3 linked regions of the Macaca mulatta genome follow. The protein of the gene in region 2 interacts with the protein of the main gene of each other region in a pairwise test. Links are inferred from orthologs where the notes say so. Each region holds a gene or a part of one and is shown on either strand. Other genes may lie near its edges.

Evidence for each region. The genes of interacting proteins can lie anywhere in the genome.
Region 1: the proteins of CNKSR1 (region 2) and CYTH3 interact in binary tests that used the Homo sapiens proteins (3 or more experiments, as listed by UniProt). The two-hybrid records come from large-scale screens. The link is inferred for Macaca mulatta from reciprocal best matches to the Homo sapiens genes CNKSR1 and CYTH3.
Region 3: the proteins of CNKSR1 (region 2) and CYTH4 interact in binary tests that used the Homo sapiens proteins (3 or more experiments, as listed by UniProt). The two-hybrid records come from large-scale screens. The link is inferred for Macaca mulatta from reciprocal best matches to the Homo sapiens genes CNKSR1 and CYTH4.

Annotation. Positions count from the first base shown.
Region 1 is NC_133408.1:44,755,140-44,759,393, reverse strand, and holds the start of CYTH3 (cytohesin-3), read right to left. Parts: upstream 2,801-4,254; 5' UTR 2,641-2,800; coding exon 2,607-2,640; intron 1-2,606. UniProt on the Homo sapiens protein: Promotes guanine-nucleotide exchange on ARF1 and ARF6. Promotes the activation of ARF factors through replacement of GDP with GTP. Plays a role in the epithelial polarization.
Region 2 is NC_133406.1:214,821,764-214,825,156, forward strand, and holds the end of CNKSR1 (connector enhancer of kinase suppressor of ras 1), read right to left. Parts: intron 3,389-3,393; coding exon 3,315-3,388; intron 3,146-3,314; coding exon 3,074-3,145; intron 1,996-3,073; coding exon 1,922-1,995; intron 1,788-1,921; coding exon 1,726-1,787; intron 1,632-1,725; coding exon 1,532-1,631; intron 1,458-1,531; coding exon 1,276-1,457; intron 960-1,275; coding exon 690-959; 3' UTR 501-689; downstream 1-500. UniProt on the Homo sapiens protein: May function as an adapter protein or regulator of Ras signaling pathways.
Region 3 is NC_133415.1:14,267,233-14,271,182, forward strand, and holds the start of CYTH4 (cytohesin-4), read right to left. Parts: upstream 2,801-3,950; 5' UTR 2,697-2,800; coding exon 2,678-2,696; intron 1-2,677. UniProt on the Homo sapiens protein: Promotes guanine-nucleotide exchange on ARF1 and ARF5. Promotes the activation of ARF factors through replacement of GDP with GTP.

The DNA of each region.
Region 1 (4,254 bases), on a different chromosome or scaffold from region 2:
AAGTCTTTTAATCTGACCATTAACAAAAAAAGACCTTTTCAATTATCTTTGGCCTCTGCGATAACTACTGTTGGAATAGATTATTTACCCTATCTTTTAAACAAGCCGAACTGACTCCCCCAGATACTGTTCAACATTATGTACCATACTCTAAAAATATACCAAAAAATGTTATGCTTTATAATCTGCTGGCAACTGAAAACGGTTTTCTTTCAAAGAGCTGAACTTTATTTTTTTAAACATGAATTTTAAAGCATTTTTTAAAAATCTAAATGGTATTAACTGTAAAGAGATATGTTAACTTCAAAACTTCCAACCGCCAAGAGTTAAATATAAGCACATAAAGTTTATACAATAATTACAATATCACTCATATTTCAAAACGTTTTCACCTGTTTCAAAAATAAATATCCTAATATTGCCAAAAATATTTTTAAGTGTCTGTCACACAGCAAGGGAGAAAGCTACTAATAAACTAAATCAATAAAGGTTAAAAGTTATTTTCCAGCACCTAACATGCTGGCTGGCATTTTGATGGGCAATCAATAAATAAATCCTCATTGTTGAATGTTCCAGTGAGATGAATTAAATGATACACTTAAAACATTCATGTCTTTGACGAGTTTTTTTTCAAATCTGAAATACACACTTATTTCAGAAACTTGGAAAATATAAAAAGAAAATAATCCATGTCACTAATTTTTATGTTGTTTAGACCATGATGTATAAAACGGCTTATTTTAATGGTTGTAAAATACTTCAATAAACTTCCCATAATTTACCTCACCATGCCCCTACTCTTGGCATTGCTGTTTCCAATGTTTTGCTATTATAAACAGCATAATACACATCTTTATATGTGAGGGGTTTAAGGTTGTTACCCTGTGATATATTCCCAGAAGAGATATTAACAACCCAAGGACAGTTTTAAGACTTTTGATATTTAATATCATGCTTTGTTACAGTACTCAAGATCTGCAAATTGCTGGAGCACATTAAAGCCGCCTTTTTTCCTCTTTATGCCTGCTTTTATCTTCAAGTCTACACTTCTTTACTCACAAAGCCCAAAGCACCTTACAAACAAAACTGCCAAGCCAGCTAGCTGCCTTGACGCTAATGTCCAACGTTTGCATATTACAGTTGTCTTTCTTTTCTAACAAGGGAAAACTGCTATGCCCAAATTGTGACAGGCAGGAAACACGACATCCACCGGGAATCCATTCCTTAGGATCTCATGGCTCCAGACGGACAGCCTGACTGTAGGAGGGTTCGCAACTCGGCTCCTTCGTTCCACAGCGCTCCCTTTTCATCAACACACCCACTCGGTGCCACAGTGCTACCCCAGCTTCAACTATGCGAACTGAACTCGCCAAATGCCATGACGGGTGCCAACTTCCCACCATCCTGGCTGCATCGCGTCTTTCAGCAAAAAAAAAAATCACCCTCTGAGCAGCACTTGAATTCTAGAAGGCACCTTGATGATGAACCACTTCATCCTGAAGCATTCAATCCTGCTGATTCTTACAGGCAGCTGCTCCGGCAGCCTGTAATTAAGATTTCTCTAAACTGCTCCCTTATTACATGGGGTTCTGATGATTCTGATGATTTCTCTGTCAGCTCAAAGGAGATCTTTAGGAAAAAAAAAAAAAAGTCTAGAGAACCTCAACTTCAGCTGTTCCTGTAAAAACACGGGCATTAACCCTTTGCTTTCCAAAGCGAACACCCACTCCATACAGAGGCACGTTCTTCTGTTTTTAAAATCTAATTCCCAGCATGACCTAGCAGTCATTTGTATTCCACGAAATAATTTCCAACAAACACGATTCCTCCAGCAAGAGGAAACCGAACGTCAGGCACAAGACCACCTGGGCCACGCCGGGCACCGATCCGACCCACTCGGGAGCACACGGGGCTCCGGGCACACCTGGCTCTCCGGTCTCGCCTCGGTGCTGGGTGCAGCTCGTGACCCCCACCCTCGACCCCACGGAGTTTTTTGCTCACTCTGTCGCGTCTGCCGTTTCCTAAAACGTCTACCCTGACCTGGACTCCAGCTGGCCCCCTCCCCGTTCGAGCAAATCCAGCGACCGTTTCTGACCCAAAGCCAAGCAGACTGTCACGCTTTCCAACCGTTCCCCGGCCCTCCCCTCCTGTACCCCCGAGGAGCCTCCAGTGCAAAACTTTCCCCTCCCGGTTTCCCACCGGCTCAGCCGCTTCCGCCCACCTGAGCTGAAAGGGGGCGTCCGAAACGCCGGACTCCGGAGGGCGTGGACGCCCTTGGCGACAAGATGCGGGGAAGGTCGCCCCGCAAGGTCCCCCGCCCCAGAGGGGCGGCCCCCGAATCCCGGCCCGAGACTCCGGGGCGACCCCGGCCCGCAGCAGCCCTGGCCTGGTACCCAGACCCTCGCCAGCGGTGGACGGCGACCCCGGCCCGCCCCCTCCCTTGGGCCCCCGGAGACCCCGCCGCGGCCCCGGCCCGGCGCGCCTCAGGCCTCCAGCAGGCGCCGCCGCCGCTGCCGCTGCCTCCGACCCCCTCTCCTCCGGCGACCCCCGGTCCCCGGCCCCCGACCCCAGGCCGCCCGCAAGCCCGCCACACCTCCGACACTCACCGCCACCACCCTCGCCGCCGCCGTCTTCATCCATCTTGAGGCCACTCTCGCAGCCGGCGAGCCGGAGGCCGGCAACAGAGGGGCCGAGGGCTGGGGACGCCGCCGGAGCGAGCGCGCGGAAGACCGGGCGGCTCCTCAGCTCGCGGCCCGGGTCGCGGCCGGGCCTCCTCCCGCCGGGCGGGGCCTCGCTGTTCGGCGTGCCGTCACGTGACCCATGCCCCGCCTCTGCTCGCAGTGGGTGGGGCGTGGGGCCGCGCGGCCCCGCCCTCTGGGACCGGCCGGGCCCGGCGGCGTCTGTGCTGGGGGAGGCGGTAGACCCCGCCCCTGGGGTGCGGGCCGACGTGGTGCGAGTGAAACGAAGCCCCCTCGCCCTCAGCATTCCAGTAGCCTGCGGACGGGCGTGGGGCCCCGGACACTGGAACGCAACACTCTGCAAAACCCAGTGGCCAGGGGTGCAACATACACGTGCACTGGGGGTAAAAGATCAGGAAACGAACGCATTCAGAAGTCAGGCCTGGCTAAGCTCGGTGGTTCACACCTGTATTCCAATACTTTGAGAGGCCGAGGTGGGAGGATGGCTAGAGACCAGAAGTTGGAGACTAGCCCCGGTAACATAGCGAGACCCCGTCTCTAGAGAAAATTTTTTTGATTACCTGGGCATGGTGGCCTGTGCTTGTAGTTCCAGCTACTGGGGAGGCTGAGGTATGAGGTCACGTCAGTTGAGCCCAGTAGGCAAAGGCTGCAGTGAGTTATCATTGCATCACTGCACTCCAGTCTGGGTGGCAGAGTGAGACCCTGTCTCAAAAAAACAGAAAAAGATCAGGCCTTCTCCTTCCTAAGACATGCATGTCAGAATAATTCCAGTCTTTCAGCTGTCTTATATATATTGGAGGCTCTCCTCCTTCCCTCCTGGTGAGTGCATGTTTAAATTAACAAAATGCAGGGCTTGTAAATGAACGTGGTCGTGAGATTAGAACGGAATCCCAGTCCAACACACCTAGGGCTCAGCTCTCAAAGGGCATTGTAGGCGTTGGCCAATCTGGCAGCTAATGCCCTTGGAGTTTAGCGCCGGTCTCCCTTGGAGAGCTGCCAGCTGTCCTGGATTTATGATGCAGAAGGAGCTCTGAATTCAATTTCCCTTGGGCACAGCCAGGGTCCTCAGCGCGGGCCTCCTGGGCAGAAGGCCTCCCCTGGCCCCTGCTCCACATCGATGGATCTCCTCCCTCACTCCCCATATCTCGCTTCCAGTAACTCCTGAAGCATTGCTTGTGGCCCCTCCCAAGCCTTTCTGCTGGAACTCAATTGCATTAAAGAAAAGCAAACATTGTAATGGAGGAGATAGCTCATCTCTAATATAATTTTCCAGCAACTGTTTTATATTTACAAGCTGTCCATTGAACCAAAGGATCCTTCCGTTGTCATCTATCAAAGTGGACAACTTTCACCTTTTGGTTCAAGGTTGCAGGATGATTTCAAAGTTCAATCTCCTAATAACCTCAAGAATTAAACACCAAGCATTCTCGTGCAACCAAAGCCACGAGGGACACTTTTTTTTTTTTTCTCCCGAGACCAGGTCTCGCTCTTTTGCCCAGTCTGGAGTGCAATGTCTCGAGTGATCCTCACACTTCAGCCTCCCAAATAGCTGGGA
Region 2 (3,393 bases):
AGGGCAGACCTCAACCTGCACCCCTCTGTACCAGCTGCCCTGTCCTACCTGCCCAGTCTCCAGGACTGTCCCCACCATCTTTCCATGCAAAGTGCATTTCCCCATCTATGAAGTGAAAGTTTCTCATTGTGTGCCCCTGGGGAATGGGGTAGGAGCTCACCATTAGCCTTCAAAGAGCTGGGGAGAGGTGGACCCACCATCCTGGCAGGCTTGGAGCTCAGGTACTCGCATGTACATCAACGGGCTGTACCAAGGGTCTGCCACCCCCTCTCTGGCCAAGAGCACTCACCCCAGTCCCCACCGGGGGGCAGATTTCCAATTCAAATATGGAAGTAAAGATACATGTAGACTCATTTTTTTAAAAATTGACTGTATTTGGTTGGAAAGTAGCCCTCATGTAAAACAAAGAACACCTGTACAGACCTGGTTTTGGGGGAGAACTGTCAAGGAACTGTAGGGGCAGGGCTGTGGCCCAGAGATGGGAGGATGGGGTGGGAGAGTTTCTTCTTTGGCAAGAGAGAGGGTGGCACAAAGCGCAGGCAGAGGGGTCAGCTCGGGGTGAGACCGTGATTAGCAGTACTACTTCCCACCCTGAACAGAATCCAGGGATGCTCTGTCCTGGACATGTCAGAAGCTGGGGTTGAGGTGGCCCTCGGGTCAAAGGTCAGGAGGTAGAGTGCTGGCCAGGGTCAGAGGTCAGGAGGTTGGAGGTTGCTCTCTGAGGTCAGAGGGCAGAGATGGGAGTGCTCTTCAGGGTCAGAGGACAGGGAGTTGGGGGTATGTTCTCTGGAGTCAGAGGCCAAGATGTGGGAGCTGCCTTCAGCCTGTGCCACTCCCCAGGCCCCCAGGCCCTCTGAGTACAGCTCCTGGTTCTGCTCCTTCCACTGGCGGAACTTCTCTCCTGTCAGTTCAGGGTCACCCAGCACTTCTTCTAGGACCTGCAGCTCCTGCAGCTTTGCCTGTGTGGAGAGGAGGGGCTAAGGGACCGTGATCACCCAGGGACGTGGGCAGAGTCTGAGGCCAGACTTCACTCTGGAGTCTGGTGCCTAGAAGCCAGCACCTGGCCAGCGTGGCACGAGGAGCCCAGGTGAGACTCAAATCCCCACTCGGAACCCAGAGCCTGGCCCAGTCCACAGCTGAGCCCATTGTCAGCTGCTAAGCTCAGAGTCCAGAGCTGAGTCTGGAGTCTGGTGCCCAGGGTGGAGGTGAGAGCTGCAAACCAAAGCCTGAAGCCCAGAGCTTAGTCCCTTGCTGTGCCCAGAGTCCCCAGCTGACCTTGAGTGTGCTCTGTAGCGCCCGTACACGGTGCACTCGCTCATTGAGCTGAGGGTCTCGGTTGCGCCGCATGAAAGAGCTCCGCCACTGTTCCTGGGTTAGGGGCTGTGGCCGGCCTAGGAGGGACACACCACCCTGCCTCAGCCCCTGTACCATTCCTTCCAGTGCCTCTTCACTGCTGTCTGTGGGAGGGAGGAGCAGGATGAGGATGTGCCCACCCCAGCTCCCAGCCCAGCTCCCAACTCCAGCCCAGCACCTGTCAGAGAGCCAAAGGAGGTCCGTGGGCTGCGCTGTGTGGGGGTGGCTGCAGGTGATGTGTCTCCATGGAGGGGACTCCCAGCTTGAGCAGGGCTGGGCTGCAGGCAGGGTGGAAAGCACAGAGGGTCTCTGTCTGAGCTCCATGCCCTGCTATTTATCCCCACCTCCTACACCCGGCAGCCCCCTACTCACCGAGGCTGAGTGGGACCCAGCCTCATCGTCTGGGTCTTCTGCTTCGGTCTCACTGTAGCAGTCTGGGGTGAGGAGGAGCAGTGGGCTTTGGGGAGGCCAGGGAGTGGCCTAGGGCATTTGAATTCCCAGCCCCTATCCCAGGAAAGGCAGAGGCTCAGGTGAGGGCTCCTCCTACTCAACCCTGTGAGACACCTACCTTCCTCTCGAGGCGGGGGCACCCGGCCCGGAGACTGGTACTTGGAGATGCAGGTAATGAGATGACGCACCCACCTACGGAGAGCAAGCAGGTCTCACGGGGTTTCCATTCTCCGGGGTCCTCTTGTATGCTAGGGGCTTTTTACTCACATCATCTTCTGATGATTCTCAGAGCAACTCTGAGAAGGATGAACTCTTAGTCACCCATTTTAGAGATGATGAAACTGGGGCTTAGAGAACTGAGTACTGACTGCGTGCGGTGACTCACGTCTGTCACCCCAACACTTTGGGGAGCTGAGGCAGGAGGATTGTTTAAGACCAAGTGTTGGCCGGGCGCGGTGGCTCAAGCCTGTAATCCCAGCACTTTAGGAGGCCGAGACGGGTGGATCACGAGGTCAGAAGATCGAGACCATCCTGGCTAACACCGTGAAACCCCGTCTCTACTAAAAATACAAAAAACTAGCCGGGCGAGGTGGCGGGCGCCTGTAGTCCCAGCTACTCCGGAGGCTGAGGCAGGAGAATGGCATAAACCCGGGAGGCGGAGCTTGCAGTGAGCTGAGATCCGGCCACTGTACTCCAGCCCGGGCTACAGAGCAAGACTCCGTCTCAAAAAAAAAAAAAAAAAAAAAAAGACCAAGTGTTTGAGACCAGCTAGGGCAAAAGAGCAAATCCCATCTGCCCCCAAAACTTTTTAATTAAAAAAAAGAGAGACGCCGGGCACGGTGGCTCACATCTGTAATCTCAGCACTTTGGGAGGCCGAGGCGGGCGGATCACAAGTTCAGGAGTTCAAGAGCAGCCTGGCCAACACAGTGAAACCCCGTCTCTACTAAAAATACAAAAATTAGCCAGGTGTGGTGGTAGGCGCCTATAGTCTCAGCTGCCTAGGAAGCTGAGGTAGGAGAATCACTTGAACCCAGGAGGTAGAGGTTGCAGTGAGCCAAGATGGCGCCACTACACTCCAGCCTGGCTGACATAGTGAGACTCTGTCTCAAAAAAAAAAAAAAAAAAAAGAGAGAGAGAGAGAAGTGAGTACCTTGACCAACCACTCTCAGAGAGCTGGACTTTGCATCTCCAGGCTCCTGAGCCCAGGCTCCCAAGCTCACAGAGGTTGGGAATTATATGAGAGTAGGGGCTAAGGGAGGCAGCACTCACATGCTCAGATCTGTCAGGGTATCAGCAGCGAAGATGAAAGGTTTGTACACATCATGGGTGAGCTGAAACACACTGTCAAGGAGTGGAGGAGCATCACTCAGCCTGGGCGTGCCCACCCAGAGCCCAGAGAGGCTGGATTCTGGGCGCCCCAGCTACTTGCCACACCTCCCACTGCCACCCCATCACTCTTCCTCTCCCTTTCTGTCTCCATCCCCCAGCCCATCATATCCCAAGACTTAACTATTTCTTCTTCTGATCATGTCCACTTTCCAGACTATAGTTGGAGACATTGATGAGGCCCTCAGCCTTCTCATCCTGGG
Region 3 (3,950 bases), on a different chromosome or scaffold from region 2:
CACAGGCTGGTGCTGCCCTTGTGCCCAGGCTGGTGAATGTGCCCGTCTCCCCGGCTCCTCCCCACTTCCTCTTTGTCCTTCCTCTTTCCCATCGTATTTTTAGAAATCTTTGAGCTTGCAGCCCTGCTTCCAGAACAGCTGGCCTCACTTCCCCTTTCCAGGGCAGGAGGAGGACCCATCTCAGGGCCCTAAATAAAGAGGCCCCTCAAAGTCTAAGTAGGAGGGACCTTGGGGCAGAGGGGGTGTGGGCGGAGCTGCTCCCCTCCCCAGCCCCACAAGCCCCACAGGCTCTGCAGAGTGTGGCTTCCTCTCCCCGAGCCGAGCTGGCTCTATTTTTAACTGCACCTGCCTGTCTTATCTGCACCAGCGCAGTGCTCGTCTTCGGCCACACTGGGGCTTTGCTGTCTGGTGCTCTCATCTTCCCGGCAGGCCTTGGGGGAGGGTGCCTTACCTGCTTCCGGACACAGGCCCACCTCAGGAGAGGAGGGGAGGCAGCCCTGGGGAACCCTGTGTCACCAGCCTGTCCATAATAAAGGTAGGAAAACTGAGGCCCACAGAAGGAAGAGACCATGACCACTGGCAGGGTGGTGCAGAGCTGGAACCTGAGCGAGGTCTGGCTAACTCCCAATCCCCGCTTCCCCAGGCCAGGCCAGGATGATGGCACCCACGTAGAGATGACAAATCGGAACTCAGAGAGGGGAAGTCACTGGGCCACGGAGAAGCCCGAATTAAGACCCAGTCTGGGCAACGGGGAAATGACCTTTCCTCCCTCCTGCTGGCCTCCTCCTCCAGGAGGTCTTCCCAGATCTCCTCTGCCCCAGTGGGAAAAGTCGCTTCCTCCCATCTCTAAGCCTGTGTCCATTTGCACGGCTGGGTCAGGGTCCTGCCGGATCTGACTCCTGCCTCTCCACCCCGCCCCCAACGTTCCAGACCAACACCCGTCCCCCAAGGTTAGGCCCATGGCTGGGTCACTGCTGTCCCCAGCACTCCTTAGCACACTGAAAGGTCGTTTGTAGAGTGAATGAATGAAAAGACCAACTACTCAATGGAGAACCAATTGACCCCATTAATCCATCGCTGCATTGACCCCAATTAATTCATTTCCTCCCTAGTACCGGCTGAAGCAAAGCAGATTCTCCCCTCCCGTGCCCTCTCCACAGCCCCGGCCAACTTGGGGCTTTCTCCCTCAGGTTCTCAGCCCTGCTCTGCCGCTGACTGCCCGTGTGACCTCAAGCAAGTCAGTCCTCGCCTCTAGTTCACCTCTGGGAGCCTCAGTTTCCTTATCTGCAATATGGGGACAGCCATCCCTGTAACCTTAGTATGTTAGGACCCCAAAGGACAAAGTGCCCTGCTGGACACACAGGCGGGGGTCTTGCATCTCAGTGGGTGCCCTCCCCGCCTCATCCCCACCCTCCTGTCTGCTGAGAGGCCTGAGTCAGGTGCTGCCCCTTGCTGGGTCTCCCTCCCTGTGCCGACCAGGTGTCCCCCAGCTGTGCTCACTGAGCTGTGATTTTGGGAACCTCCAAAGCCCACAGGAGAGGCAGGGGTCAGAGAGTGAGCCCGGGACAGGGAGTCACGGCACAGGGTTTGGTCCTGCCCCTGCCGCAGAGAGACTGTTTTCTTCGCTTGGCCTCTTTTCTCCCTTCTGCCACTGGGGGGCTGTTGAAATGGATCAGTGGTTCTCTAACTGTGTTCCCTGGTGGGGGGGTGGGGGAAGGGGGATGCCCAGTGGGCGGGGCCAGGCTGCTCCATGTTAGGTGCATTTGAAGCCAGGGTGCTCCCGGACAAGGCTGAGGTCATCTGGACCTGGGGAGCAGACAGCTCCCACCAGCCTGTAGATTCTGGAATTCCAGCAGCCGTGTTCACCAGAACCGTTGCAGCTCTGGAGAACACTGACATCCAGGGTACAGAAACTTGGCCCCTCTTCTGGACCTTCGATTTACCTCCCCAAACACAATCCTGATGTTCTTTTCCTCACCATCTTTGCAGCCTCCTTTCTCCTCTTTCTCCCCAGACACATGGTCCTAGTCCCTGGGGAGGGTTTCAATCAGAGCCTCTTGCTCACTCCCGGCCCTCCCCCGGCTCTAGGCTGCGTCCTCAGCCTCCCCAAAGACCACCCCAACCCCCGGCCAGAAAGGGACCTCAAGTCCCTTGTATCACCCAGACAAGCATCGCCGTCACCAACATCACATCATCATCTTAATCACAAGTCACTTTTCTCAGTTCACCTCTGAGCCTTTGGACTGGCCGTTCCTTCTGGCTGAAATGTTTGTTCCTTAGAAGGCCCCTTAGCTGATACCGTCCTCAGGTCCCTCATTAGACAGCATCTTGGGGCCTTTTCCACCATGCACTCCCCTCTTCCTTATCCTGCTTTACTGTTCTTCATCCTACCTGCCACCAACTGACGTAGGGCATCACATTAGAGTAATTGCCTGTTTCTCCCTCTAGAGGACAAGCCCGTGAAGGGGGGAACAGCGTCTGCTTTGCTCACTGCTGTGTGCCCAGCCCCCAGAACACAACTGGACACCTAGGCTGAGCCCACAAATGTTTGCTTCGCGCAGCTGCATTTTCCGCCTGTGCTGTATTCCTTTATCTAGGACCCTGTGAGGCAGGGGCTGCCGTCCCATTCTAAAAGAGAGCACCCTGAGGCCCAGAGAGGTGGACTGCAGTTGCTTACCTGGGTGGCACAGGTCCATTGTGACGCCCCTGGGGAAAAGATGACCCGTGTTCCTGTCGCTTGTCAACCCAGCTGCTGCTCGGGCTGACCCAGCAAGGATGCGTCACCTTGACTGTAACGGGCCCCTTCCTGCTTGCCCCGCCCAGCCCTGTGTGGGGAGGAAGTCAGTCCTGGCCCACTGGGGTCTCGTGTGCAGGCTTTTGACACAACAGCACTTCCTAAAAACTGGCAGAGTTTTGAGCAGCAGGGACCTTTGCCAGAGAGGGACAGAGGTGGAAACAAACAAACAAACAAACAGATGAAGTGAGGGGAGGGCCACATAAAAAAGAGAAAGACAGAAAGAAACACCCAGACGCATATGTACACACACACGTACACACGCACAGACACCGAGGGTGATGTTCACTGAGGATGAACATTTTCCAGGGAACCATGGGCATTTACCTGGCAACCTCCTCACATGAATGCCATAGGAGCACCCAACTTGGACAGTCCTAGCAGGGCCCCCTCTGTTCCACCCCACAAGCTCTCTTCCAACTCCCACTTAAGAAAAGACAAATGAATTCAGTGCTAGGAAGGACTTTCCTTCCCTTCAAAGAAATATCTGGCTTTTTCTTGTCTAGTGAACAATCGGGTAATATGCTCCATTTTCCTTCTCCCCCAGGCTGCTGGGAAACTCATCGTCAAATCAAAAGCTCATCAACAGCTTTTCTATGATGTCGTGTGAACTTTGGGGACTGACTCAGCTGTTTGACTCTCAGCTAGGGCTAGTCAGCCTCGCTTTGCTTATCTGTGAAAGGGGAATAACACTAACTCGGGGATATGGAAATGATGGAGTGAGAGGATGTGTCAGAGATGCTTGGGACATAGTAGGTGCTCAATAAACACTTTCTCCTTTGATTCTAATTTTCTTCTTTGGTTAAAATGTATCACGTTATTGCTTGTGTCTTTTCTGGCAGGTTGGTTCAAATCCTTTCTGGAAAAAGCTGTGCTGTAAAGAAACAGGTATAAATTAAATGCAAATTCCCTATAACTTCAGGACACATGCAGATTTGTTCATCTGCTTCCCCATTACTCTCCAGGTCCCATGAGGGCAAGGTTACCTTTTGTGCTCTGGTGTGTGGTAAAGTGCTGGGGACATAGAGGGTATGCAAGCGTGGAATGAATGAATGAAAGAATGAATGAATGAATGAATGAATGGAACATGGTGGAGATCACAGTGAATGTGAAAGCCAGCTACAAGTTCACCTCCTTTTCACTATGCCGCCACTTC